2 linked regions of the Elephas maximus indicus genome follow. The protein of the gene in region 1 interacts with the protein of each later gene in a pairwise test. Links are inferred from orthologs where the notes say so. Each region holds a gene or a part of one and is shown in the gene's direction. Other genes may lie near its edges. The genes, in order: ADARB1 and PRKRA.

Region 1 (15,175 bases):
CTACCTGTCCCATGGGATTTCCAAGGAGCAGCTGGTGGATTCAAACTGCTGACCTTTTGGCTAGCAGCCGAGCTCTTGACCACTATGCCACCAGGGATCCTCAGTGAGTGATAGGACTTGTAAGTTAAATTTTATCAAAATAATTTATAAATTTAACTATAATAAATTATGGGCTGGCTTATTTTGTTTTTTATGGAATTGGAAGATACAATTTTGTACATCTTATATACTTCTTAAAAAAATTCTTGAGGGTCTAAAGTTTATGTGTAAAATAATGTCATGGTTCCACTGCTTTAGTCTAATGTTTCGTTTTAGGATCACATAACCCAGGTGTCACTTTGTATCCTTTGTTCATAAATCCTGAGGAAGCTTGGCTGACAAACAGGAGAAGGTTGAGATTGCTTGCCCTTGAGGAAAAATCCTAGCCATTCCAGGATTCAAAATATGTTACTTTTTGCCTTTCAAAATCAGCACTCATCTGAGACACGTACATTTGGATTTTTGACTGAAAATTCCTGGGTGAAGTCATCTTAAATGAAAATGCAAAAAGCTTAATTGAATTCCTTATCGTGAGTGAGTTGAAGGATGCTGCAGGCGGGCTGAAAACTGTGATCGTTCTGGGCTGATGGGAAATAGAATGTTTGAAGAATTGGTGTATTTTTTTTTTACTTATAAAGAATCTGAATATATTAAAAAATATATAATGTTGGCAGTAGTGTTTTTGCTTTAATGGGGCAGCCCTGCAGAGTGGGGTGAGCTCAGTTCTAGGCTGGTGCACCCTGGATTCCAGCAAGTCCTCCTACTCATCGGACATGGGACTTGGGCAGGCCACGTAACCCCTTCACCCACCAGTCCCCTCTTTATAAAGCGGTAAAATACCATAGCAGCGGAAACTCAGGTGGCACCTACCCTGTCCTCACCTGAAGAGAAGAACCTCTGCCTTCACAGAGCTTGTATTCTAGCAAGGCAAAGGAAGACCATCAGCGGTGCCCGGAGCAGACGTTACATTATGCTGTGTGTCAGAGACAACAGGAACGTGCTGGGAAGAGGACTGCATGGGGGCAGGGGGTGGAGCAGGGGTAGGCGTGCGTAACTGTCATCATGACTTACAGATGAGGAGTCTGAGGGGCAGAGGAGAAGAAACTTGCCTGAGGCCCCGTGGCACTGTAGTTGTGGTCACGGGGTGTAGCCACCCATTATGTGCAGGGCATAGCTCCTCTCACGAGGACTCAGTTGTGAACAGTATCCCTGATGGTTGTGAAGACATGATGGCGTGTCCACACACCCTCACGCAGTCTGTACAGAACCCACTTTGCAGGCCGTGGTGAGGTTTCATTGAGTGACAGTTGTGAAAACATGGTGGCGTGTCTACGTGCCCTCATGCCATCAGTACAGAATCCACTTTGCTGACTTCAGTGAGGTTTCAGTGAACTGACTCGTGGCCATGGTCACATTATCAGCTCCCACTGAGCACTTGGCCTCAGTGGCTCCCCCGCCTCTAGCTTCCTCTTCCGGCAGCTGCAGTGTCAGGCGTCAGTCTTTGGGCTTATCTGTCTCTGTCACTTTATTACTCATTCCCCAGCAACCTCTCGCACTCTCCCTGGTGCCATTGAGCCCAGCTGTGGGTCTTTAGCCAGGCTGCACCCCAGACACAGACCCTGCGTCCTTCTAGCATCTCCTCGGGTAGCTCACAGATATCTCCACTGGAAGACGACAGGCCCAACTCCTGCTCTTAACCTCAGCGTTTCCCGTCAGCTGCCCCATCTTCCAGTGCTCAGAAGCTGCGGGGTTGTTCCTCTCTTACCCTGACATTGAACCTTCGACATTCAGAATGTGGCCACTTCCTGCTGCTTGCTCGGCTCTTCCCTTCTTCAGCCCTCATCCCCACATCTGTCCTCACCAGTGGTCAGCACCTCCTTTCAAAAGCAGGTTAGGCCATATCCCTTCTGCTCAAAGCTCTGAGGTGGTCTGTACCCTAAGAGTGATCACCTCAGTCCTACAGTGGCTTAGGAGACCCCACGTGTCTGCACCTCGGGGCCCCTTGGCCACCTCTCTTCCCTCCTGTCTCTCCTGCCAACTCCTTTGCAGTCATTCCGGCCTTGCAGCCTTTCCTGGAAGATGCCAGGCACACTGCTGCTGCTGCTTCTGCCTCAGGGGCTTTGTCCTTCTGTCCCCTCCCAGGATGCTCTCCCCCAGGCACTGTCATGGCTGACGTTCTTACCACCCAGGGGCTCTGCTTCATCACAGCTTCTCACCAAGCTGGTACTGCTGCCTCCTGCCTGGTACCCACTCAAGTCCTCTTCCTAGCACAGCGCCTGTCATCTCTGACACACAGCGTGATGTAATTAATGTCTATGCTTACCACTGACGGTCTTTCTCCTGCTAGAATATAAGCTCTGCGAAAGCTGAGGTTTTTGTCTGTTTGTTCACAGATGTATCCCAAACCCTTAGGACAGTGCCTGGTATACAGTAGGTACCCACTCAGTGTCAGTTGGAGGAATGAGTATTTGCTATGTTTGTTATTAACAAACATTTCTGAGGCACTTCAATATGACATTAAGTAATGTCACGGTTTCCCATGTGTTGACTATTCTTAAATAACCAATGAGTGAATACCTGATCATTTAGAGAGTTTAGAATTCTAGTGGGTAAGCATCTTTTTTTCTTATTTTAAGAGTAGAAAAATACTTTTTAAGAGTTTTATCTTAACTGAATGTTCTCAGAACATTAAATTTTGGAGTCTTTACTTTGAGGACAGGTAAAAATAAAATTAACTGGATGGATAGATAGAGACAGTCGAATCAGCTCCAACTCATGGTGATCTCATGTGTAACAGAACAAAATGTTGCCCGGTCCTGCATCATCCTCACTATTGCCAGCATATTTGAGTCCATTGTTGCAGCCACTGTGCCAGTCCATCTCATCAGGGATCTCTCTCGTCCTGGCTGGTCCTCTGCTTTACCAAGCGTGATGTCCTCCTTTCTGTTGATGTGTCCAAAGCAAGTGAGTTGGACAGTGTTCTATTGGGATCCGTAAGGTTTTCATTGGCTGATTTTTGGAAGTAGGTCTCCAAGCCCTTCTTCCTAGTCTGTCTTAGTTTGGAAGCTCCACTGGAATCTGTTCATCATGGGTTTTTGGAATACCAATGGCGTAGCTTCCAGCATTGCAACAACATGGAAGGTACGCAGTATGACAAACTAGCAGACCGGTGGTGGAAATTCACTAGGTACCTGGAATGTCAGTGCTAAATGGCGAATGGCTACTTCTGACATTCTGCTAGAATTATATGTCCTTATTAACTTGCAAAGATAGCCGACTGAAGTAGCAAACAGGTGCACTTTTAAAATTGGAAAAAAAAAGGGCTTTAAAATATTTTTAAACAGTAACCTTTGTCAGTTTAATCATTTGCTGTGACTTCCTCCATTCTCCTGGACACAAGCATCCTCTTTATGTTTCTCTTAAATAATCCTGTCATGGATCGAATTGTGTCCCCCAGAAATATCTGTCAGCTTGACTAGGGCGTGATTTCCTTGTATGATTGCATGAATGTCTACCATTTTACCTTCTGATATGATTTCCAACGCTGTAAATCCTATCACTATGATGTAATAAGATGAGTTCGTGGCAGTTACACTGACGAGGTCTACAAGATTAGGTAATGTCTTAAGCCAATCTCTTTTGAGATATAAAAGAGAGAAGCGAGCAGAAAGACATGAGGACCTCATACCACCAAGAAAGCAGTGTGGGGAGCAGAGTGCATCCTGTGGACCTGAGGTTCCTACTGAGATGCTCCCAGACAAGGACTTTCCCCCAGAGCCGACAGACAGAGAAAGCCTTCCCCTGGAGCCAGCACCCTGAATTTGGACTTGTAGCATACTGGACTATGAGAGAATAAAGTTCTCTTTGTTAAAGCCATCCACTTATGGCATTTCTGTCATAGCAGCACTAGATGACTAAGACAGAATTTGGTGCTGCGAGAGTGGGGTGCTGCTCTAACTGACACCTAAACCATGGAAGTGATTTTGAAGCTGTGAATGGATAGAAGACTCAGGGAGATGAGGAGAACTGTTAACACTGGAGAAGGTGCAGATGGTGAGAAACAGCAGCAGAGGACTGGTGGCAGGAGCAGCGAACCGGCAATAGCAGAATCAGCAGACCAGCGCCAGACAGCTCTGGAGCCAACCCATGGAGCAAGAGAACTGAGCGCCTGTGCGCAGGAGGCTTCCTGGCAGAGTGGGCTGCCTCTGGGGACTTGGCCCTGGAGCTAGGCTTGCTGACCCTTGGAGCGAGAGAGCTGAGTGCCTTCGGGCCAAAGTTTACTGGCGGAGTGGGGTGCCTCCAGGCACTTATTGGTGGATCTGCAGAGCTTTGGAACACCTGCCCCAGCAGGACAGATGTGGGCGTGAGGCCCGAGGAGCCGAGAGGCCAAGAAACAAGGAAGCAGAAGCTGAAGAGACAAGAACACAGGAAGCCAAGCTAACTTAGTCTCAAAAGGTATGGCCGGGACCTCTGGGGTTTCAGAGGGCGGATCCATGGCCTCTGGTTTTCTAAGGGTAGAGTTTTCGCTTAGATGGACTAGGAGAATGGTGTGCCTGAAGCCAAGAGAGCAGAGTTGCCATCTCAGTGGGCCTGGAAGGTGGAGCTGAAGCCCAGGGCCGAGGGGCCTCCACTCAGAATCTGGAGAGTGCGGCCAGTACCTAGAGTCTGGAGGGCAGGGCTATTGTGTACATGGTCTCAGAGAACAGAGGATTATTTTCAAGGCTTGAGGGCTAATGTAATGTGTTCTGCTAACTTGCTTGTGCCTGTTATGCCTTCTTTCTCTCGAATTTCTCCCATTTGTAATGGCAATGTCTGGCTTGTGCTTGTTCTGCCATTGTACTTTGGAAGCAGATAACTTATATTCTGGATTTTGCAGATGAAGAGGAATTTTTAGATTTTGGGCTTGCAGCTGATTTAAGACTTTTGCTCTGGTATGATGGGTTGAAGATGTTTTATGTGTGGCAAGGACATGAATTTTGGGGGGCCAAAGGGTGGAATGTCATGGATTGAATTCTGTCCCCCCAAAATATCTGTCAGCTTGACTAGGTAATGTCATCTGATGCGATTTCCTTAGGTGTTGTGAATCTATCACTATGATGTAATAAGGTGAATTAGTGGCATGTACGCTGATGAGTCCTTCAAGATTAGATAGTGTCTTAAGCCAATCTCTTTTAAGATATGAAAGAGAGAAGTGAGTAGAGACATGGGGACCTCATTCCACCAAGAAAGCAGCACTGGGAGCAGAGCGCATCCTGTGGACCTGAGGTGCTGAGATGCTCCCAGACCAAGGGAAGGTGGCTGCATCACAAGGAACTTCCTCCAGAGCTGACAGAAAGAGAAAACCTTCCCTTGGAGCTGGTGCCCTGAATTCGGACTTCTAGCCTGCCAGACAGTGAGAGAATAACTTTCTCTTTGTTAAAGCCATCCGCTTGTGGTATTTCTGTTATAGCAGCACTAGATGAATAAGACAAACCCTAAAGGTGAAAGGAGGAAGCAGGGAGAACTGAAGCAGGAAAGGATAGAGATACAGAGTCAGGACACCACCTCAACTCTGGTAACTTAATTGGAATGACTCTAAAACAAATTAATGTGCCTTGAGAAGGGGCTGCTCCATTGGTGCGCCTCTACAGCTCACAGCCCCAGATTTACCACAGTGAGGGTGCCCTTCGCTTTGTCATGCTGGCAGGTTCTAAATTGCTCTTTCAGGAAAGAACAAATAAAGTGTACATCATGTTGGGAAGATTTATGGTGCATTGGGTTGCGTCATTTGATGAGGAAAACACAATGTGATTATTAGTTGAAGGCAAAATATATGGCATTGCCACTTTTATCTAATTTTTTATGTTAACGTAGAGCCAACATCAAGTGAGATTGTACAACATTATGGTCAGGAAACGAGCACGTCTTTTAGAGACTGTTACGTGTGTTTTAGTTAGCAGGAACCTAAGTGGACCTGGTCTTATTGAACCAAGAAGTGTTGAGAAATGTGCTGGATCAATGACTCCACGGTGGCCTTGACACAAGACAGACGCACAGATGTTGGATGAGCCCAGTGCAAGTTCTCTTAACAAACTCACTGTGACATCTTTCACAATATTTGCTGTTGTTATTGGCCATTTAGTCAACTCCAACTCGAACTCCAACTCCCAACAATAACAGAACAAAATATTGCCTGGTCCTGTGCCATCCTCATAATTGTTGGTATGTTTGAGCCCATCGTTGCAGCCACTGTGTCAGTCCATCTCATCGAGTGTCTCCCTCTCTCTCACTGACCATCTACTTTACCAAGCATGATGTCCTTCTCCAGAGATTGGTAGTCCTGATGGTATGTCCAAAGTAAGTGAGACATAGCCTTGCCTTCCTCACTTCTAAAGAACATTCTGGCTGTACTTCCTCCAAGACACATTTGTTCATTCTTCTGACAGTCTATGGTATAGTCATTTTTTGCCAGTACCACAATTCGGATGCATCAGTTCTTCAGCCTTCTTTTTCATTGTCCAGCTTTCCCATGTGCACGAGATGATTGAAAATTCCATAGACTGTAAACCCCCAGTTAATTTTTTATGAATGTATAACTGAAGATGGTGGTGCTCATGTATCTTCACTGACAGTATTATCTTATTTGATAGATTTGATGGACTCCTGAAAAGCTATGCACATACTAGGGTTTTGTGGCCACATTACAGGGTCGTATCCTCACCGGTGCCGTTTGCTTCTGAAAAGGACCCAGTGAGAGGCTGCCAAACAAATCCAAATATCCTTTTGTTACGTCTCTTGGCTTATCAGGTTTATGGATTCTGATTTATCTGATTTAAACAATTGGAAATTTTAAAGATAGGAGTATATGTATACTTTGAAAGTTTTTCTTTCCATGAATATACTTATAACTTGCCATGTGGCTAGATGTAGAACGTTGTTGTCTTTTTTGGGTTATGATGGAGAAATTAGAATTTTCTCATTTCAAAGAAAGGGGCAGTCATCACTTGTGTATTGGTTGGGAAACTCCGTAATAGGAAATCCCAAAGCCATAAAACCAGCCCTTGATTTCAGCTGGTTGGAGCCCACCCCGGACAAGTCCTTCAAGAGCCAGCAGGGGGCGCAGAGACACGCCAGCCTCTCCTGGGAGTGGCTCCACTTGGCTGCGCCATTTGCAAAGATGTGGTGTGAATGTGAATGGAGGCTGTCCCAGAGATGAAGGCCCCCCATCAAGCTTAGCCTCCTCTAGAAACAAAACTCAAACAAAGCCCCGATGTAGAGAAATCACAGATTTTTTTCCCTCTTTTTAACCTGAGAGTATCTAGCCACTGGGGAGAGGTTCCTTCTTTTCACCTGAATTTTTTAAGCCTTCGATTATTCCTCAGTAATTTCATCCTAAAGAATCCAGAGTCAAGATAACTTTTTATAATTTGTCTTTTTACCTTAAACTGCTATTGGTTTGATCTGGACTGCTTGAAACTCTTGTTAAACTATTTATCCTGGATGAGATCTGGAAGTTTCAGCTCCATTTTTCAAATTGCTTCTTCCTTGGTTCAGTCCCCATTAGGAGACCCCTGGGGCCTTGCTTTGAAATTCAAATGTGGCTTCTCCTGGCAGCCCTCACGCCCCGACCGGCACCTGCATCTCCTGGGGGCGGGGCGCCTGCACTGGCGACAGGGACATTGCACAAGGCATTCTTATTTAGCGGGGTGAGTTTTTAAAAATGTGATGATTTTTTTAAGCTTTGGCCAATCTTCAGTCCTCTAGACCTGGTTAACCACTGGTCGTTTCCCATGGTTATGTACCTAACTTATTTTGATTCCTTGCAAGGGAATTGTTAATAAAGATGCCTATAAAACCAAAACCAAACCGGTTGCCAACTCGTAGTGACCTTATGGACAGAGTAGAACTGCCCCATAGGGTCTCCAAGGAATGACTGGTGGGTTCAAACTGCTGACCTTTTGATTAGCAGCCAAACTCTTAACCACTGCGCCACCAGGGCTCCAATACAAAGTAGTTCCAGAGAGGTTTTCTTGTTTGTTCTCTAACATAGTTAGAGGACTTTTTCTTTTGAGTAATATCACAGTTTTAAAATTATTTAAAGCTGAATTTTAATTGAACACCTTGAAATTTTTATTAAGTTAATGTTAATACTATTTAATATCAATAATTTTGTATATTAACAATTAACATATTGTTTATAATTAGTGTTATATGTTAATATAAATATATAAAAATAAAACTATTGACAGGTCTGGTGTTTGATGTCCGTCTGGTTGCCAGCACAGAGCATCAATATCATATGGTTTACGCCCGGTATGTCTAGACCTTCACACACACTCTCATACAAATTTAGGAGCAATATGAATCATTTGTCCCTGAGTGGCACAAACAGTGAATGCACTCAGCCGATAACTGCAAGGTTGGAGGTTTGAGTCCACCTAGAGGTACCTCAGAAGAAAGATCTGACAATCTACTTCTGAAGGATCACGGCCATGAAAACCCCATGGAGCACAGTTCTGCTCTGACCCACATGGGATTGCCATGAGGCAGTTGGGCTTTTTTTTAATGAATTACTTAATATGACAAAATATTCCTCGATCACCATGTACAATTGTGTGACTGTTGCGCTAATGCATGTACCTTAGGAATAATAAATAGGAAAACAGACGGGGGACATTACTGGGAAATGGTACCGTGTTATGTAAAATAAGAGTACATCATGCTGAGAGGAAGGATTTGACAGGTTAGTTCATTTGTCATTTCTTTCACCTCAGTGCACGTGCCACTCAAATCCTCAGTGTAACCTGAAGCATGACCCATAGGCAAGATCAGCAGCAAGACAGCCCACGGGCTCCAGAGCACTTGTGTACAATTAACTTTTGTTTAGGAGCATATGACAGGAGATGTGGGAGGGTCTCCCTGGGGCTGGAGCTGTGTTAGTCTAGACAGAGGGCGTTGAGGGTTATGGATTGTGCTGTGCCGGCACAATGGGCTGGGTCCCAAGTGACAAAGGTACTCGAGTACTCCATGAGGCGTGTGTGAGTGAGTGTGTGTGGGGGAGAGAGAATGTGTGTGTGAGAGAGAGAATGTGTGAGAGAATGTGTGTGTGAGAGAGACTGTGTATGTGAGAGAGAATGTGTGTGTGTGAGAATGTGTGTGAGAGAATGTGTGTGTGTGAGAGAGAATGTGTGTATGAGAGAATGTGTGTGAGAGAATGTGTGTGAGAGAGAATGTGTGTGTGAGAGAATGTGTGTCAGAGAGAATGTGTGTGAGGGAGTGTGTGTGAGAGGGAATGTGTGTGTGAGAGAGAATGTGTGTGTCAGAGAGAATGTGTGTGTCAGAGAGAATGTATGTGTGTGAGAATGTGTGAGGGAATGTGTGTGAGAGGGAATGTGTGTGTGGGAGAGAATGTGTATGTGTGAGAGAGAATGTGTGTGTGAGAGGGAATGTGTGTGTGAGAGAATGTGTGTGTGTGAGGGAATGTGTGTGTGTGAGGGAATGTGTGAGAGAGAATGTGTGTGAGAGAGAATGTGTGTGTGTGACGGAATGTGTGTGTGTGAGAGGGAATGTGTGTGTGAGAGAGAGAACGTGTGAGAGCGAGCATGTGTGTGTGAGAGAGATGAGGGCCCAGGCTGCCTGGTCCGTCTGCCAGACGCTGTGGAGCACAGGAGCGGTTTCAGTCTTAGCCTCTGCCCCTTGGGTGCTCATAACCCCCCGGAGTAGGCGGTATCCCTGCAGTGAAGTAGGGACCCCAGCAAGTCACCACAGGGCCTGAGTCAGGCAAGGAGGAGGGAGGGAAGGAGGGAGCGCCCTGCCAGGAGGGCGGTCAGCAGGGGCCGCCATTGGAAGTGCGGTGTGCTTGTCCTTCTGGGGGCTTTATTAGCAACACCCTTCTATGGATTCATCCCACCGGCTGCCTTGCGTGACAGCCTCTTACTTTTTAAACAGTAAAACTCTTTTGTTGACACTTTAATTTCATTATATTAGGAACTTTGTTTTCAAGGAGACAGAAAGGACTTTTTTAAGGCCTTTGATCTGTTTGCTGTGGGCCATCTCCCTAGAAAGATCCCCAGGCATTGGGCACCTCTCCCCTCCCTCTCCGTGTGGTGTTCTGTGAGTGGCGGTGTGGAAGGGTTAACTGTCACGTGCCGCGTTCTGGGTGGCACGGCCAGCCGGGAAGTGACTGGTGGTTTGCGCTCCCTCAGCCCAGCAGCTGTGCAGCTGAGGAGCACGCCTGTGGCAGAGGGGGAGAGCTGGCTCCCTCCCGGGTGCCGGGTGCCGGGTGCCGGGTGCCACCCGGGTGCCGGCAGAGGGCTGCTGTGGCTGTGGCGGCGGTGGCATGCTAAGCGCTGAGCCTCCGTGTGACTGCCCCAGTGACTGAGGGACGCGCCCGAGAGCTGGGCTGGCTGTGGCTGGGGGTCGGCTCGTTGGCATGGCGTCCCTTGTCACGGCAACTTTACATGTGGGGACCTTCTTCAGCATCATGGGGCGGCGATTTAAAAGGAGGCGCAAGAAACGCTCGGAGAGGAAGGGTAATTTGTTTAGTTTTTATGGTGAAAATGTGAAGTAGGGGCTGATTTCTGGGGTAGACCGCTTTTGTGAGTTAGCAGTCCTGCTGATGCCAGTGACTTCATAGCATCCCTTTTAAAGCGTCTCTCTTTTTTTTCTTGGCACCTTAAAGAGACTGAGGGGCTAGCTTAAAAAGGAAACTGTAAAAAGATGCATATAAACGTGTGCATAAATCATGCTAGCTTCGGAGTTTAAAGTGTATTTTTAGAAAGATATTGATGAAAGCTTAGAAGTTTGTAGCTTTGAATATTAAAAGGTTTTCCCCTCTCAAGAGAGACGCTTTATAATATTTGTCCTTTCTCCTGCCACCCTATTAATGACTTCCCTAATGTTAAAACTATTCTTTATAATGTAGAAAGTAAGATTGTGGCAACCATTGTTAAAATATTTTCCTTTTAAAGAACAGAGAATATTCCTTATATTCACTGCTCCAGGTTAATTTAATTTCAGTTTTTAATTCACCATGATGTGTTAAGACACTAAACTCTATGTTTTCTTAAAACCAGATTCAAAAAGTTGTTCGTGACTATATAAAATTACACATTGTTGGCTGTTAGAGGTGAATTGTTGCTTTAAAAGCTGCTGATAGTTTGCCTTCCTATAAAACCAAAAAAATACCCATTGCCGTTGAGTTGATTCCGACTCATGGTGACCCTATTGGACAGAGTAGAACTGCCTCGTAGGTTTCCAAGGCTGTAAATCTTTACGGAAGCAGACTGCCACATCTTTCTCCCGCAGCGCAGCTGATGGGTTCAAACCACTGACCTTTCAGTTAGTAGCCATGTACTTAACCACCGTGCCACCAGGGCTCCTTGTCTTCATATAAAAATTATTTAATTAATTAATAGGAAATTAATTTCGTCTTAGGTGAAAAGATTCTTCTAGCTAGGGGAATAGTCAGTCTTGCCATGATGATTGAGTGTCTAGCCTCTGTGTTTGCTGTTACCTTCTCCTTCTCTCCCCGTCCCCAACTGACAGGACTGACCTGGACCAGGTCCCTCACCACCTCAGCACCCCTTGGTGTTCTGAGGCATGAGATAGACATCCCTTCAGGAGATAAAAATTAGCTGGTTTTTACTGTGGCTTCCTAAAAAAAACGGAAGAAGAAATTAATTTCTCAGTCAACAATCATATGATAAAACCAACCTGATAAATATAACAAAGGCCAAAAGACAATTATACTTAATGGAACTTCGTGTCAGGCATTGGGGGTCACAAACCTTGGATCTTCATCAGCACTGTGCCCTCTGGTGTTGTGTGTCCAGGGCACACACGCTATAATCCAACCCGTTGCTGTCAAGTCGATTCCGACTCATAGCGACCCTGTAAGACAGAGTAGAGCTGCCTCATAGGGTTTCCAAGGCTGTCGTCTTTAAGGGAGCAGACTGCCCACATCTTTCTCCCACAGAGCAGCTGGTGGGTTCAGTTAGCAGCCGAGCATTTAACCTCTGTGCCACCAGAGCCCCTTTACTATAATCCAGATGACTCATATTAGCCCTACTGTGTACAAATTCCAGAATCTTATTCTCCAGTAGAAAAACCCTCCTTACATACATTGCATTTTCAGACCAACATCTTACACTCAGTGTGTTACAAGATGCAGCAGTTAAGTCCATGTTTTAAATGACTCTGTTCTCTGGACGTTGCTATGTGGTGTGAATTTATTGTGAATGCTCTTAGACAAGACAGGGTTGTGTGTTGGTACCCACTCTTACAATATGCACTATATTTGAAACTAATAAAAATGCCTTTAAAAATTATGGATATTGTTAAGACTGACCGTTCCATTTATACCAAATTGGTGAAGTTTTACCAGATTTAACACATAATTTTTAGCATCGTACGATTTTAAGGTGCTGCAGATGGGTGTATTGTTCTTTCCAAGACTGGTATAACGTATGCCTCGCTTTTATGTAATTATTTATTGAAAACAATGGAGTAGCAAGTGATTTGCTTCTACTCGGCTTTAGTAACAATCAAATTTCAGTGATTTTTCATCACCCCTGAATTATCCACATAGTTACTCCCTTCCTCAGGGCACGTAATTGACTGTCGGCTTCGTATGAGACTCGGAGGAATTAGCTTAATCATCAGAAAAATATGGCAGAAAGAGAAGAATGTGCTCCTTTAATATTGAGCAGGACCTCCACCGAGCAGATCCTGCTGCGCTGGCAGATACTGCGGCCCGGGAGCCGATGCAGTCCCACGGCGGGACAGTGGCCCAACACGTGTGGTGTGCTCTGCACCCAGCCCGCCCATAGGGGCAGCTGTCGCAGCCCTCTTCCTGTCACAGCATGACCGCTGAGTGGATGAGCAGTGATGGGGAGCTGGGAAGGGCAGGTGGAAGAGTAGGAGGCGACGTGCAGAGCCCCCCCTTCGCCTGCACTGTTTTGTGTAGGTGGCTTCATGATTTCCAGGTGACAGGCTTTCATGTCAAGTCAATGTTGTGACCCTGTTGGTGCCGGACCATGCCGCATACTGTGTGGGGACTGCTGTGGGGCAGGCAGCACCTCCAGGGTGTGCTCCAGTCTGAGGTCAGGCACCCCACGTTTCTAGGACGGACATGTGAATGGGGGTGTGGGGAGTCTTTGGAAGACATAGAGATCCAGACCCCTAAGTCTTCCCATCTTAAGGTGCCACTGCTTGTGGTGGTGATGCAGGCAGGTGTTGGGTGGCCTTCTTCCCAGTCTCAGCCCAACTCTCATCTGTGAGAGAGTACTTCCCTGGCAGGTGTGGAGCACTGTGACAGTGGAGGAATAGGGTGGCATCTATCTGTCCACCATCTACCTGCTTATCCACCATCTGCCCACCCATCCACCAACCCATCCACCTACCCATCTACCATCCGCTCGCCCATCCACCATCCACCTGTCCACCATCCACCCACCCATCCACCGTCCGCCCACCCATCCACCTACCTATCCACCATCCGCCTGCCCATCCACCATCCACCTGTCCACCATCCACCCACCCATCCACCGTCCACCTCCCCATCCACCATCTGTCCACCATCCACCCTCCCATCCACCGTCCACCTACCCACCCATCCACCATCTACCCGCCCATCCAGCCACCCATCACCATCTACCCACCCATCCACCATGTACCTATCACCATCCACCCACCCATTCTCCAACCACCCGTCACCGTCCACCCCCCCATCCACCATCCACCCACCCATCCACCATCCACCTACCATCCATCCGCCCATCTACCATCCACCTACTCAGCCCAACTCTCATCTGTGAGAGAGTACTTCCCTGGCAGGTGTGGAGCACTGTGACAGTGGAGGAATAGGGTGGCATCTATCTGTCCACCATCTACCCGCTCATCCACCATCTGCCTGCCCATCCACCTACCCATCCACCATCCGCCCATCCATCCACCATCCACCTGCCCATCTACCATCCACCTACTCACCTGCCTGCCCATCCACCATCCATCTGCCCATCCAGCCACCCATCCACCATCCACCTACCCAACCAGCCACTTATCCACCATCCACCTACTCACTCATCCATTCACCTACCCATCCACCGTCGACACACCCACTCATCCATTCACCTACCCATCTCCCATCTACCTGCCCACGCATCCATTCACCTACCCATCCACCCACCTATCCACCCATCCACCCACCTATCCACCCATCCACCCAGCCACCCACCCACCCATCCATCCAACAAGGACCCATTAGAGCCTTCTGTCTGCCAGGCACCAGGGACTCAGGAGCGTACAAGATAGGCATGGGGTGATGATGGGATGGCAGCAGGAGGGGACAGCCCAACTTTTCAGGCTTGGGGGTGTGCTCTGGAGTGGGCCACCGAAAGCATCGTCCAGTGGGCGAGGAGGTGGGTTTGTGCATCACATGCTGTTGTGCTATATGTGTAAGGGAGGGAGACCACCATGTCTGTGTGGCACAGGTAAGGAGAGCGGCATGCTCTCCAGGGAGCAGCAAAAGCTTGGAGATTGAAGGCTCTGATTTTTTAGAACCTTCTGTGATACATACCTGGGGTGTTTCATTGCTTTTGTTCTGATGACCTTCGCAGTGCAAGCAAGGACCCTGCTTACCAGGCAGGAGCTCTCCTTCCCCAGAGGGCGCTGTCCCATGGGTGGGCCAATACCTCTGTTGGTTAGCAGTGGGAATTCTAAAGGAAACTTACATAAATAAGTTTGTGAAGTTGTACTTGCGATACTCTGGAAATGAACCTAGAGAAAATCTTAGCAGTACCAATTCTTTGTGTAATTAGTGCTCTTATTAACAATACAGTTCAAATGATTATCTTTTATTTTCTTTGATTCAAGAAAATAAACTACAATTTTAAAATAAGCTAAAACTTAATTAAAGCAAAAAAACCAAACCCATTGTCTTCAAGTCAATTCCAACTTATAGTGACCCTATAGGAAAGAATAGAACTGCCCCATAAGGTTTCCAAGGAGCAGCTTGGTGGATTCGAACTGCCTACCTTTTGGTTAGCAGCCTGAGCTCTTAACCAGTCCACCACTAGGGCTCCGAAACTTAATTAGGCAATGTTAAATAGAGCAGACATGAACAGCATTTCAGATACATAGGTAGAGTGTGTCCACT
Region 2 (14,844 bases), on another chromosome or scaffold:
GAAGCACTTGTACTTTTAAAGTTATTTGAAGGGGGACACAAAAGGCAGTTGGGTCAACGATAGGTAAAACTGAAGTAAGAAAAGTCCTTACACTAAGGTGTCCTAGTTTGGGTGCCCTGACACCTTCACGCATCTTAAGTGTCTATCTCCTTCTCTGTCTGCCACCATCAAAAACTACCTGTTATTTTATTACATCCCCTAGTAAGTCAAGGAATACTTTGTCAGTGGATTGCATTTAGGTGAGGGTGGGGAGTCTACAGAAAAGACAGTTTGGGAAATTAGGGAAGCAAGGACGTTTCCCAGCTACTTCACCCATGCAAAAGGCTGACAGTGCTGAGGGCATTGCTCTTCTATGAATTACCGACATTCAGAGACAGAAAAGAGTGAGATACAGAGCATTCAATTAAATTGGCAAAAATATATTCATTTCAGTGTTTGATGCAAATCGTTCACTCACCAAAGACACCATCCAGGTAAATGAAGAGTTCAAAAACACTGAAAGCAATGGTTGTATGTGCCGGAAAAACAATAGCTTTGTCTCGTCCTCTGGGATTCTGTTCATCCATAAAATGAAACTATAATAAGTAAATAAAATCATTAAGCATCATAACATGCAAGGATATTTTTTTTGAAAGATAAAACACCTACTACAATTCTACCCAGAAAACCTCCCCAAAACCAAAAAATGCCTCTCAAAGTAAAGAATGATTCTACTTGAATTACACTGTTTATAGCAGAGGTCCGCCTGAGACTCATGATCTGTATTAAAGAAATACCTCACCACTATCTCACTTACTTTGGTATTGGTGCCAATAGTATTAGTGCTACGACAATCAGAATGCTCTCTGGATTAGAAGTCTTTTTTTCTTCCAACTGCAAATGTTGGAAGGCAATTGTGTTAAGAGTTAAAATTGAAGCTTTTCAGCCCACTCTGTCTACTGTTTTCAAGGAAGACTATTTCAGCAGCTTTCCAAAGCAATCACCAACTTATTTTCAAGTTAATTTCAGTTGGTGCCTCCAAAATAATCTAATTTTAATCAGAATTTGGCAGGTAGCTGAATGTAGCTACTGAACAGAACATTTTTTGTGAAGACTTGAAAAATTTATCATGTAACCTATCTTTCTATCTGTTGGTTTTAATAAAGTCAATCAAGTCATTATTAGGTGTACTGACTGGCAAGGACAAACAATATCAAAATTGAGCTGAAAGTTTAACACAAATAATGTTCCAAGATTTTTAAAAAATGTTTTAATGTTGAATGAACAATATTTGGCCGCTGATAAAATTATTTTAGAATAATTATTTTAATTTAATGCAAAAATATAAATCAACTTTTAAAATTTCAAAGTATAAACTCTATCACTTAAAAAAAATTCAACTTGAGCAATTTTTATTCTTAAAACACCATTTGAACAGTAAAAAAAGAAGACCTCCAGTATGCACATTATTTTACAAGGATTAGTGTTTTCGTTGCATTAATATTACACATGTTCAGAATCCAAGTTTTTTGGACCTTTTTTTCGTATTCTGATACAAAAACTACTACTATGCAAAACCCTATGCAATTGCAGCTCTTTAATCTCAATATCTGTTCAAAATATATGCAGTCACAAGTGCCAATGGAAATTGAGCAATTTTCAAAAACTCTATTTTAGTTAGTGAGAGAAGCCTAATGCGTGTGGTTTACCCGCATTGATTCCCCACGGATTCCAGCATGTACAGACAGTGAGCACTGCCGTGTGGTTCGAATGCTTTCCATGACCACACACAGTACTGCCTTTCTGCTGCTCCTTGACTGACGTATTAAGCTGTGGTCACAATTAATTTTTCTAAAATAAAGAAGAAAGACATTCACAAGAACCAATAACATATAATTCCATAGAATGAGGGACAGTTTTTGCTATCCATTCACAGTCCATTTTAACTAAAAGTAAATCAAAGCAGAGAAGTGAAAGCAGGAACACACACAGACACATGCACACCAACGTTCACTGCAGCACTTTTCGCAGTAGCCAAAAGGTGGAAACAATGGAAACTCCATTAGCAGATCCATTAGAGGGTGAATGGATAAACAAATAATGTGGTACAACCATAGAATGGAATATTACTCAGCCATAAAGAGAAATGAAGTTCTGACAGCCACTACAACATGGATGAACCTTGAAAACATTACGCTGAGCTAAGTCAGTCACAAAAGGACAAATACTGTATGACCTCACTTACATGAAATTAACAAATATACAGAAACCAAAGGAGCCCTGGTGGTGCAGTGGTTAAAGCAATCGACTTTTAACCAAAAGGTCAGCAGTTTAAAACCACCAGAGGCTCCTGGGGAGAAAGATGTGGCAGTCAGTGTCCATAGAGAGTTACAGCCTCGGAAGCCCTATGGGGTCACTATGAGTTAGAATCCACACGATGGCAGTGGTTTTATAGAAACCAAAGCTTATTACTGGTTACCAGGGGAGAGAGGAAGGGAGGTGGAAAAGGGGTTTTTTTTGCATGGGTGGCACTGAGTTTACATTAATAGTGGTAGAATACTAGGACAAAGATAGGGATAAATAAGGGTTGCACAACATGGTAAATGTAACTAATGTCACTGAACTGTACATGAAGAAACTGTTGAATCGGTGGATGTATTATTGTGTATATTTGCACTACAATTCAAAAAAAAACAAAGGCAAATCAAGGAAAGCCTGAAAGAAATCAGAAAGTATGCTCAAAAGAAATTTAATACTCTGCCTCTCCTTTCTATTTTCTTAAAGTGTGTTTATTATAGGAGCCTCTTAGAGAGGAATCTCTTAGTATATTTGTTGCAGGCAGATTCCTGTATTCTTTCAGTCTAATAATTTAGCAAATGTGCACAGAGCCAAAGCAATTTTTTGGAACAATTAAAAATTCCCTAAGCTAAATGATTTTCAATATCTACCTTTATCCAAAGTTTGGAGCCCTGAGGGCACAGTGATTAAGAGCTCAGCTGCTAACAAAAAGGTCAGCAGTTTGAATCCACTGGCCACTCCTTCGAAACCCTATGGGGTAGTTCTACTCTATCATATAAGGTTGCTATGAGTTGGAATCGATTTGACAGCAATGGGTATGGTTTTTTGGTTTTTTTTTAATCCAAGACTTAGATACACTAATTTGCAGTGTTTCAAAAAAATGAACTACACTAGTAAAACACAGGCCAATGTTTTAAAATATTTTATAGTGAAGTTTATATAGTTAAAATATTTAATGGAAACGTTCAAATATATTAAGGATTATTATACTGACCGTGTAGTAATTTCCTTGAGTAATGTTGATACTTCCACTTCATGTTTGGTTACTACACCAAATGAAGCTTTTACTGCAATGGAATCTGATCCAGCGATATTAATCCCAACATCATTCACAATATGGTTGCCCCGCCTTCCATAGAGTGAAACATCTGACTCATCTTCATAATTCAGTAATTGATAAGATGAAATACCTTAAAGAAAAGGAAATTAGTATATTTTAAATGTCTTAAATCCATCTAAGGTAAATTACATTTAGTAACATGTTACTTTACAATTTAAGACTCAAAACACCCAAATGTTAATAAGGGCAACGATTTAAACCAAGATTTAAAATAGCAATTCAATTAATATGCCAATAAAAAGAAATAAACAGCCAGAATTCTTAAAATGAACTCCAATTCCCTCTTCAGTCAACAGAACTTCTTAAGCATAAAGACTCACTGGGTGGTTGAAATAAAGGCAAGTATTTATAAGAAATAATTTGTCAAAATGTCAACCTGTTTGTTTCTAACCTAGCCCATAAACATATTTTAGTTTACCATTGGTAATAACTGTATTGTAATAAATAATTACAAATTACTTACATCTCCAATAGTTCATTTGACTCTTTGAGGTAGGTAGACCAAATAATGCCCCCATAAATTTTTTTTTTTTCTTACAGTCTACATTAATTTGATTAAAACATCTTAGAAAATAATTCATAGATGTGGAAATTATTTCACCAATCAAACGAGATTTAATTCTTATATAAATTCCAGGCATCATTAGTCTTAGTATTATTACTACTATTGTAATAAAAGTTGCTTTTATCAATAAAAACGTGTGTTAGTATCACTAACACTAGTAATATATACAACCTGTGTTTAGGTTACAATTATACAGTTGAATGAGTAGTTAACTCCCAAACAGACATTTAAACTTACCAGCTGAAATTTCTCTGTCTCCTAGGAGAATGTCTTTCAGTGTAAAAGGTGTTGAGGTAAATTTATATCTAGGAAACAGAAAGCATCGCTTCTTTTTTACCACCAGACTTAGGGGTTGGTATTTGTCAGCTTCACTGAGGCTTGGAACAGGAACTAATCTCCCTCCATCTCCAACTTGCTTGACAAAGCTCTTGGTAGCAGCAGCAAACATATTATTAATATAAGATCAAAATGTCATCAACTATAACCTCCAGATAATAAATCCATATTTTCAAAGTAGAAAATCAGGCACAAAATTAAACCTAGCTTGATTTTAAATATATTTACATACATTAGAAATCCAAAGCATGGTTTTCACCAAGTAGTTTACCAGTGTAGAATTCACAACACAGCCTCCCCGCGTGCGCTGAGGTAATGAATTATAGATCAAAGTTGTAAAATGATATACCAAAAGCAAGTTTAATTTGGAATGGCAGTCTACGGCACTAAAATATATACAGAAAACTAATTATTTTAAAACACAACCAATGTTCTTGATTAGGGTCACATTTAGTAGTGGTTTGCAGGTACCAATGAGTGAGTTTTGAGATGAGCATATATAGCTCTATGGAAGATAATGCAATTTAGGCACTAACATTAGCCCTGGATACCAGCTACAGTGGACTTAGTCAAAAGGGAATTCCTTCATCCAATTTTGGCAACAGAAAATTGTATTGCGTTCTTATGATATATAGCCTATTGTTTTAGCATTTCCCATTCATTTCCCTTGTTGTATGCTGTGGCGCAGTGGTTAAGTGCTGGGCTACTAACCAAAAAGACAGTAGTTCAAACCCACCACCCACTCTGTGGCAGTCTGCTTCTGTAAAGACTGCAGGCTTGGATACCCTATGGGGCAGTTCTACTCTGCCCTGTCAGGTCACTATGAGTTGGAATAGACTCAATAGCAATGGGTTTATGTTACAAAACCAAGTACTTAATACTAAATACAAATTCACAGTATATAGTGGAACAATTGTATGCCAATCTTTAAAAAATACTAAATTAAAGAAACATTAAGTAACTGTATAAACCATACTACATAGAGATTTTTACTCAGAAGCTGGACACATGGATTACATCTCTTTGAAATATGATCCTGTTGCATTTATTTTCTTTTTGTCCCATCATTATCCCAGTTTCCCAATCTTTAATAGATTTGATGCATTGAACACTAATGACCAAAGACCAGACAGGTTGTGGAATGGCATCAAGGACATTATACACGAAGAAAGAAAAAGGTCTTTAAAAAGGCAGAAAAGACCAAAATGGATGTCAGAAGAGACTCTGAAACTTGCTCTTGAATGTCAAATAGGTAAGCCGAACAGATTTCAAAGGGTAGCTCAAGAAGACAAAGTGAAGTGTTACAATGAAATGTGCAAAGGCCTGGAGTTAGAAAACCAAAAGGGAAGAACATGCTTGGCATTTTTCAAGCTGAAAGAACTGAAGAAAAAATTCAAGCCCCTGGTTGCAATATTGAAGGATTCTATGGGGAAAATATAGAACATCGCAAGAAACATCAAAAGAAATGGCAAGAATACACAGAGTCACCGTACCAATAAGAGTTGGTCAACGCTCAACCATTCCAGGAGGTAGCATATGATCAAGAACGAATGATACTGAGGAAAGAAGTCCAAGCTGCACTGAAGGCATTGGCAAAAAACATGGCTCCAGATATTGACGAAATACCAACTGAGATGTTTAAATAAACACCAGGGCTGGAGGTGCTCGCTTGTCTATGCCAAGAAATTTGGAAGAGAGCTTCCTGGCCAACTCACTGGAAGAGATACATATTTGTGCCTATTCCAAAGAAAAGTGATCCAACAGAATGTGGAAATTATCAAACGATATCATTAATATCACGCACAAGTAAAATTTTGCTGAAGATCATTCAAAAGCAGTTGCAGCAGTACATCAACAGGGAACTCCCAGAAGTTCAAGCTGGATTCAGAAGAGGATGTGGAACAAGGGATATCACTGGTGATGTCAGATAGCTCTTGGCTGAAAGCAGAGAATACCAGAAAGATGTTTACCTTGTTTTTGACTACGCAAAGGTATCCGACTATGTGGATCATAACAAATTATGGGTAATATTGCCAAGAACGGGAATTCCAGAACACTTAATCATGCTCATAAGAAACCTGTACACAGACCAAGAGGTGGTCTTTCAAACAGAACAAAGGGATACTGTATGGTTTAAAGTCAGGAAAGGTGGGCAATAGGGTTGTATCCTTTCACCATACTTATTCAATCTGTATCCTGAGCAAATAATCCAAGAAGCAGGACTATATAAAGAAGAATGAGGCATCAGGATTGGAGGAAGACTCATTAACAACCTGCGATATAGAAATGACACAACCTTACTTGCTGAAAGTGCAGAGAACTTGAAGCACTTACTGATGAAGGTCATAGACTACAGCCTTCATTATTAATTATGGCTCAACATAAAGATAACAAAAATCCTCACAACTGGACCAATAAGCAACATCATGATAAACGGAGAAAAGATTGAAGTTGTCAAGGATTTCTTTTTACTTGGGTCCCCAATCAACACCCATGGAAGCAGCGGTCAAGAAATCAAACAACATATTGCATGGGGCAAATCTGTTGCCAAAAAACCTCTTTAGACTGTTGAAAAGCGAAGATGTCACTTCAACGAATAAGGTGCGTCTGACGAAAGCCATGGTATTTCAATTGCCTCATATGCATGGGAACGCTGGACAATGTATAAATGTCATGAATTGAATTATGTCCCCCCAAAAATGTGTGTATCAATTTGGCTGGGCCGTGATTCCCAGTATTGCGTGGTTATCCTCCATTTTGTGATTGTAATTTTATGTTAAAGAGGATTAGGGTAAGATTGTAACGTCCTAGGGTCTCATGCCTGATCCAACCTAAAGGGAGTTTCCCTGGGGTGTGGCCTGCACCACCTTTTATCTTACAAGGGATAAAAGGGAAGGGAAGCAAGCAGAGAGTGGGGGACCTCCTGCCATCAAGAAAGCAGTGTTGGGAACAGAGCGCATCCTTTGGACCCGGGTCCCCATGCAGAGACGCTCCTATCCTGGGGGGAAGATTGATAAGAAGGCCAACAGAGAGAGAAAGGCTTCCCCTGAAGTTGATGCTCAGAATTTGAACTTTTAGTCTACTTTACTGTGAGGACGTAAACATCTCTTTGTTAAAGCCATCCGCTTGTATTTGTTATAGCAGCACTAGATGACTAAGACAATAAAGAAGACCAAAAGAAGAATTAACGCCTTTTAATTAATGGAATATACCCCTGACTGCCAAGGAACAAATCTATCTTAGAAGAAGTACAGCCAGAATACTCCTTAGAAGTAAGGATGAATAGACTTCATGTCATGTACTTTGGACAGGTTATCCGGAGGGCTCAGTCCCTGGAGAAGGAAATCATGCTTGGTAAAGTAGAGGGTTAGCAAGAAAGAGGAAGACACTCAACAAGATGACTGACACAGTGGCTGCAATAAAGGTCTCAAGCACAACATCGATAGTGAGATGGTGCAGGACTAGTGTTTCCTTCTGTTGTACATAGTGTCGCTATGAGTCAGAACCGACTCCACAGCACATGACAATAACATAACAAGATTTGGCATGTTTTTAAGGAATGTTATGGAAACCCTGGCGGCTTAGTGGTTAAGAGCTACAGCTGCTCATCAACAGGTCGACAGGTCAGGTGCTCCTTGGAAACTCTATGGGGGCAGTTCTACTTTGTCCTATAGGGTTGCTGAGTCGGAATTGACTGACGGCAACGGGTTTGGTTTGGTGGTTAAGGAAAAATTTTATAAACAATAGTGTGGAAACATTGCATTACCATAGATGTAATGTAGACGTTAATGTATTGTGAAATAATGGCTATATGTTGCTCACAATAAGATAGTCATTAAAACATCTTAGTGAAACGTAACTAATAATAACGAAGTGGTAGAGAAGGAAGGAGAAAGAACAGGCTTAATTCAAGCCTCAAATAAAGAAAATCCATCTAGGATTCTGGACATTTTTTCATTTGCTTTCGAGTATCCAGGACTCACATGCAACTTAAAAAAAAAAAAAAGGGCTTTTAATAATGTCCCTTTGTGAGAACAGCATTGTGCAATTTTCCATTTTCCTTAATATAAAGTAAGCACAGGTAGTCATTTCTGCAAGGAGATACCAAACTCCTAGAGAAACAACGCATCTGTTGTCGTTGTCTGCCCCCTACCAAACGTGGCGCATCCCAGGCAAACAAATTAGATCAACGAAACAGGTCTGAGAAACTGCGTTTAATTGGAATCTTGTCCACAGAAAAGCCTCCGTTTACGCCTAACGTGCCTTGCCGGGGTCCGCTGGACCAGCATTTACCTCAGCGTCGCGACCAAAGCCTAGAAGACAAAGGAGCCGGCTCGGCGAGTGAGGGTCTCGGGAGGGCTCCACATTGCCTTAACAGCAGGGTTTGGGAGCCGGGGACGTCCACCGCAGCCTTCAGGGCCGGATCTCCCGCGAGGCTTGAGTCTCAAGCTTCGCGGGCAGGCCCAGGCAGGGGCCCTAGCACTACTGTATTTGGATTTTGAATCTTTTTCTTAAAGGACCCAGCCATCCATGCCGCAAAAATATAACAAAGCCTGAGCTTCAAGCCTCACAGACCCTGAGTCCGCCCCTGACAAAACCTCTCGCCGGGCAGGAAACGGCCTCCTTTTAAGGACAAAGAACCCGGTTACCGCCGGGCGGCGGGAGGGCAGGCGGGGCCAGGTGTGGAGTTGGACCTGGAGCCGCCGGAGGAGAAGGGTCAAGGGCGGGAGCCGAGAAGAGCCGGAATTGGAGCGGAGCAGGGTAGGAAGAGGGGAAGGGCGGGGCCGGGAGCCGGGAAGAACTACTAGCCGGGCGGGTCGGGCAAGGAGAAGGGTCGGGAGTTGTAGGAACGAGGGAGGCGTGGCCGGCAGCCGGGGACAGTGGGAGCCGTGCCGAGGCTCCGCCTCCGCCTCCGCCCCCCGCCCGCCCCCTCCCAGCAGGGACGCAAGCAGGGAGGGTGGGGGAGTGGGAGGCGGGGAGGAGGCGGCCGCGGCGGTTGGGGCGCTGGACCGCTCTTCTCGGCTGCCGGCCGACCCGGGGAGCGAGGACGTCGCTCCTCACCGCTCTTTCCCCCTCCGCCGACCCGTCCCTTCTCATCATGTCCCAGAGCAGGCATCGCGCCGCGGCCCCGCCGCTGGAGCGCGAGGACAGCGGGACCTTCAGGTCAGCGCCCGCTCAGCCAGGGCCGAGGCGGACAGGGCGGGAGGTGGTGGGGAGGGGAGGCCCTTCCGTGGCATTCTGGGTAAAGCCCCTTCTTGGCGTCCCGGCCCCTCCTCGCGGCTGCGGGCGGTGCTCGGGCGCTCGGCCGCGCCCACTCGGCGGCGCGCTGGCAGGCGTCTTAGGCCGGCCCCGCCCCCTTGCAGCTTGGGCGGTGCGCGGGGTGGGCGGAGGCGGCGCGCGGCCGCCACTTCCCGTAAGGGCCGGTCTCGGGTAGAGGGTTGCGGGCTTGGACCTGAGCCCCGGGCTCCGTCCTATTCCCCTGAGAACTCCTGTACTTGCGTTCAAGTTACCTCTCTAAAGACCTCCCACACTCTGTCCCGTGCCCGCCGCAGCGAGGCCGGGAAACAGGTGCACCCAGGCCTCGCCGGCTCAGGCTGCCAGGAAGCTGAGACGCCCCCCCATCATTGCTGGTGGCTGTCAGAACTGGCCTCTGTATGCGTCTGCTTCCCTCCACGCTTTGCCATGCAAAGCACACTTTTCTTCTGGTCTCTGCAGTTTGGGGAAGATGATTACAGCTAAGCCAGGGAAAACACCGATTCAGGTATTACACGAATACGGCATGAAGACCAAGAACATCCCGGTTTATGAATGTGAAAGATCAGATGTGCAAATACATGTGCCCACTTTCACCTTCAGAGTAACCGTTGGTGACATAACCTGCACAGGTCTGTATACACAGTTAACCCCTATGACCATGGGGGTTGGCAGCCAAGACTTGGTGTTGCTTTTCCGTTCAGAAAGGTGTTCTTTTTGCCAGAAACAGCTATGGGGAGAAGGCATTTTGAAACCGAGACACCTCATCTAAGGTCATTGGGACATTTCAACTTCATCTGATTTTCTCTTCTCTGGGATAGCAAGAGAAGCTCAGAAACGTAAAAAAAAAAAAAAGTTACTCAGGACTTCTGTACGGCTCCTTTCAGACCACAGGAATTAGGGAGAAGCAGGTTGGAGCAGCCATAGTTGGATCAGTAGGTGCTGTTAGGACCATTTTATAGATTATAGCAGATGCTAGAAGCCATGACCCCAGAATTTTCTGAGCTTCTCCCACTCTCTTTGGACTCATTTGGTGGTTTGTACCACACTCAATTCTGTATCCAAGCAAAATGAGAAGGGCAGAAGCTTCACAAAATCAGCAAATTATAGTTCCTGAAGTTGTACAGGTATTTTATATACAGTCTTCTTCTTTTTTTATACATGAGGAATCAGGTTTAGAGAGATTATAAGTAGTATGTCCAAGGGCACATAGCAATGAAGTTTCAGAGTTCATACAGACACCTTATAATAGTCTGTGAACTTGAACAAATGGTAGCTAAAGTTGTCCATCTGTGTGGACATTTTTTTTTTATCATGATCTATTTAATTGCAAACACAAAATGTTAAATACTAAATTTGAAAAAACACCAAGAAAAAAAAAATTCAGTAAGACTGAAATTCCACGATCTGGTAATCTGAAGGCATCATTTGTTTTTATTACCGGAAATCCGCTGTTCTCACTGAAGTTACTTTAAGAAAATCTTGAAGCTTTTTTTGTCTGTGTGAGGTAGGTGGATTGTTGGTGCTGGCTGGAAGGTTTCTTGGGTGAACCATAGAGTCAACATTTCATTACTGCTTCATCTCGTCTATTTTTACTCATTGAAAAGGTAGCCTTTTTTTCCCCCTCACTGTGGTTAATACCAGGAATTGACAACCTATGGCAACCATTCTGCCCACTAGCTTTTCTCTTAACACACTGCTTTGTCTTCCTGTACAGGGTTATCTGCCAACATGGCTTCAAATACTACCCAAAGCATAATTCTGAAATCTCTGCCTTCAGTCTAAGCCCAGTTATGAACAGTGTTATCAGCTGGTGTTTGGTAGGCATCTTCACTTGGATAATCCAAAGGCACTTCAAACTCTCACTGTCCCAAACTGAGCCCATCTTTTTTTCCCCCAAACCTATTCTCCCTGCACTCCCTATCTCAGTAAAGGCACCACCATCACCCAGTTGCTCACACCGGAGATTTGGATTTCATCTTCTTGACTCTTCCCTCTGTTGCTGGTCTAGTCTATAACCAAATCCTATCTCCTGAATATCTCTTGAATCTGTCTGTCTCCTTTTTCCCTTGTTACTATCCAGGCCACCTGGATTAGAGCTAGTCTCATTGATTCTCTTTCAGCTTCTAGTCTTGCAATGTCCAGATCATTCTCCACACTACAACAGAGTGTTCATCCTAGAATTCAGATCTGTTCCTATAACTTCTCTGCTAAAAATCCAGTTGATGGTTTCCCCATCCATAAATACAAATTTCATAGCATGGCTTACAACCTTGCTTCTCGAAGTGTGGTCAACAGCAGCATCAATAGTACGTGGGAGCTTGATGAAAATGCAGAGTGTCAGTCCCTCTCCCTGACCTTCTACACCAGAGTATGCATTTTAACTAAATTTCCAGGTGATTACTATGTACATTGAAGACTGAGAAGCACAAATTTACAAGATCGCTCTTTCCCCACCCCCAACTCTCTAGGCTTTTATCTCAAAATTTCCTCCCTCAAGCTCTCCTGTTTTAGCCATGTCCAACCTCTTGGGACTCTTGAGAACACGGTATTTTGTGTTGCCTTTAAGCCTTTCCAGATGGTCTTTTCTCTGCCTAGAATGCTCTTTCTAATCCCTGAGCTCTTTTCACCTTACCTACTTTTAATAATCTTTCAGGTTTCTGTTCTCTCTCTTCTGTGAAATCTTTCTGAATCCTTTCCAAGAGTAGAGCAGCTGCCCCTCTTGTGTGCTCCCCATACCCTCCACTTAGGCCTGCCTTACCACGCCATGTTTCACATGATTGATTACAGATGGAGTCCTGTATTTAGGCTGTGTTCTGTGTGCAGGATCCTCTGTACCCCTAATATCTGTGTTGGTGGATAAACGGATACGGTTTGTGTGCCCTGTTACACTTGAATGGTCACACTTGAAACCTTTTCCATGCCACCTTTTCTTCTCTCCATACCAAAGGAATGGATGTCAGCACTCTGCAGGTGTTCTCAACACCCAGTTTGGACTCAGAAGGAAAAAGATTAACCATTTACTAGGTATTGCTTACTTAAATTCAGACATCACCCTTAATGATTAGGCACTCTTATCCTCCCCTCCCTACCCATGTAAGGGATAGACATTGTATGGAATACACATAAGTAAACTATTACCTTCTGTATATAAACTTTCCCCCAGTATGCCCAGTGTGTAGTCGTGAGTGCTGAGGGATTTGATTCAGTATAGGATGGGCTGTCAAAATAAAATGATGCACATTTTCTGTCCAACAGTTCTGTTGCAAGTGGCTCCTTTAAAAGAAACTATTTGTTGCCATCCAAGAAATCAGTTCTTGCTGCAGAGAAAATTACTCCCTCCCCAAGAATAAGGGAAGAATACTAAATTGTATTGACATCGTCTACTTTATTACAATTTTATGCAGTAAATATAATGTAGAAATATTCCTACTCCTCACTTATCTTGTTTTCCAACATTTTGCATTTATGACAATAGTAAAAAATCTGCATTTTTGCATTAACATGTGTCTGGCAGTAATGAATGCTGAGGTGTGAGGTGAGAGTAACTGGCTGCAATGGTGTCAGGAGGGTTGGTGTCACCCAGCAGGGTAACTCATGCTGTCACCACGCCCCCACCCGCCCCCACAGACCTCCCATACTAGCCCCAGCCTGCACGGAGGAAGTGCCCTGGGCTCCCAGGAAGCGCCTCCCAGCGGTGGGTGCAGGTGCCCAGCTCCTAGCAGCTCCCAGCAGCGTGGAGTGGTGGGGGTGAGCCAGGAGGGCTGGTGACAAATCTGGGAATGGTGTAGTCGAGCAGGAAAGGCCCCCACCTGGGCCTGCACCCACTGCGCACTGAGTCCCTCCAGTGGGGCAGACTTGCCCAGCTCTGAGGAGCCATGCTCTGGCACCAGTCCCCGTGTTCCAGCTAGCTCCCAACCCAGCACGCCAGAGAGCAGGAGGAGGAGAAGACTAAGGGAGTAGAAGGAAAAGGTGAGAAGCAGTGGGGGAGGGGTTGGCAGCAAGGGGAGAGGAGGAGGGAAACTACAGCTAAGAGGAAGAAGGGGGTTGGAGCAGACCTGCTGTGGTGGGCGCATCACCTGTCAGGCACCACCTGTCAGGCCTAAGGCAAATGAAAGAGCGCCTGGGGTGCCCTGCATCCCCATTTCCCTGGTCATCTTCCTCACATAACACCAAGTGTTGCATAACAACCTGGTCTCTGGAACTGAACCATGTTGATAAGTGAGGAGTGGGGGTAACAATAATGGTTTTTATACAGGTATGCATAGAATTAAATATACAGAATTTTTAAAATTGTATTTTAATGTTTTTCATGTGGTATTTTATTACAGCGTATAACTGCATGTAATGTATGTTTTTATTACCTAGGGTATATATATAAAACCTGTACTGACTTTGTTTCGTATTAAGAAAACACCTATGGGTATAAAGAATTTTTTATAAAGATATCTTTTTTTTTTTTTAAACCTTAATTCAGGTGAAGGTACAAGTAAGAAGCTGGCGAAACATAGAGCTGCAGAGGCTGCCATAAACATTTTGAAAGCCAATGCAAGTATTTGGTGAGCTAAATTTCTTTGTATTCTGCAGCTCAAAAATATCAATGGCTGAGGTAAGATTCAAAGTTTGAACATACTTAAAAAAGCAACAAAGTGAACAATTGTTAGTATCTTAGCCCGGACATTCTATTCCTTGTTCAAATCTGTCATCCATTTAAAGACAACTTTACCTATAAAAAATTATGTCCAAAAAAATTGCACTGATTTAGGGTAGGGTTACACAGCCAGTTATTATAATTGCTGTCAATAAGTTGTATACCTGTAAAAGTTGAACTGGAAAAAGTTGTGTAATAGATATATTTACAACAAGAGGAGCTGTTGAGGCTACTTATGAACAACCAAACACCTCATGGAATTTAGTTCCCTGGTTTGGAGGTTTAGTCATAGTTTCACAGAACATCCCAGTTAACTGGCCTAATAACGTGTTTAGTACTTCTATCTCCTAGTTTGTTGTGTAGTGTCTAGCATCTTATAAACTTGCAAGTGGCCATCCAAGGCACAACAACTGGTCTCTAGTCATTTGGAGCAACAGAGGAAGAAGGAGAGTCAGGAACAGGAGGAACATATGGAATGTGTAGCTAGTTGTCTCCATGAACAACTGCCTCCTTTGTCATGAGACCAGAAGAACTGGATGGTGCCTGCCTGCTATTACTGAATATTTTGATCAAAGATTCCATGGAAGAAACCTGATCAAAAGGGGAAAAATGCAGAACAGAATTTCAAATACTCATGGACTC

Evidence for each region.
Region 2: the proteins of ADARB1 (region 1) and PRKRA interact in binary tests that used the Homo sapiens proteins (3 or more experiments, as listed by UniProt). The link is inferred for Elephas maximus indicus from reciprocal best matches to the Homo sapiens genes ADARB1 and PRKRA.

What each region holds. Positions count from the first base shown.
Region 1 is NC_064820.1:229,722,202-229,737,376, forward strand, and holds the start of ADARB1 (double-stranded RNA-specific editase 1), read left to right. Parts: upstream 1-8,217; 5' UTR 8,218-10,450; coding exon 10,451-10,550; intron 10,551-15,175. UniProt on the Homo sapiens protein: Catalyzes the hydrolytic deamination of adenosine to inosine in double-stranded RNA (dsRNA) referred to as A-to-I RNA editing.
Region 2 is NC_064824.1:76,730,311-76,745,154, reverse strand, and holds the start of PRKRA (interferon-inducible double-stranded RNA-dependent protein kinase activator A), read left to right. Parts: upstream 1-9,253; 5' UTR 9,254-9,396; coding exon 9,397-9,461; intron 9,462-10,013; coding exon 10,014-10,183; exon of another isoform or gene 10,184-13,523; intron 13,524-14,028; coding exon 14,029-14,110; exon of another isoform or gene 14,111-14,160; intron 14,161-14,844. Other genes in the region: PJVK (pejvakin), read right to left, coding at 458-575, 1,689-1,830, 3,272-3,467, 4,200-4,410. UniProt on the Homo sapiens protein: Activates EIF2AK2/PKR in the absence of double-stranded RNA (dsRNA), leading to phosphorylation of EIF2S1/EFI2-alpha and inhibition of translation and induction of apoptosis.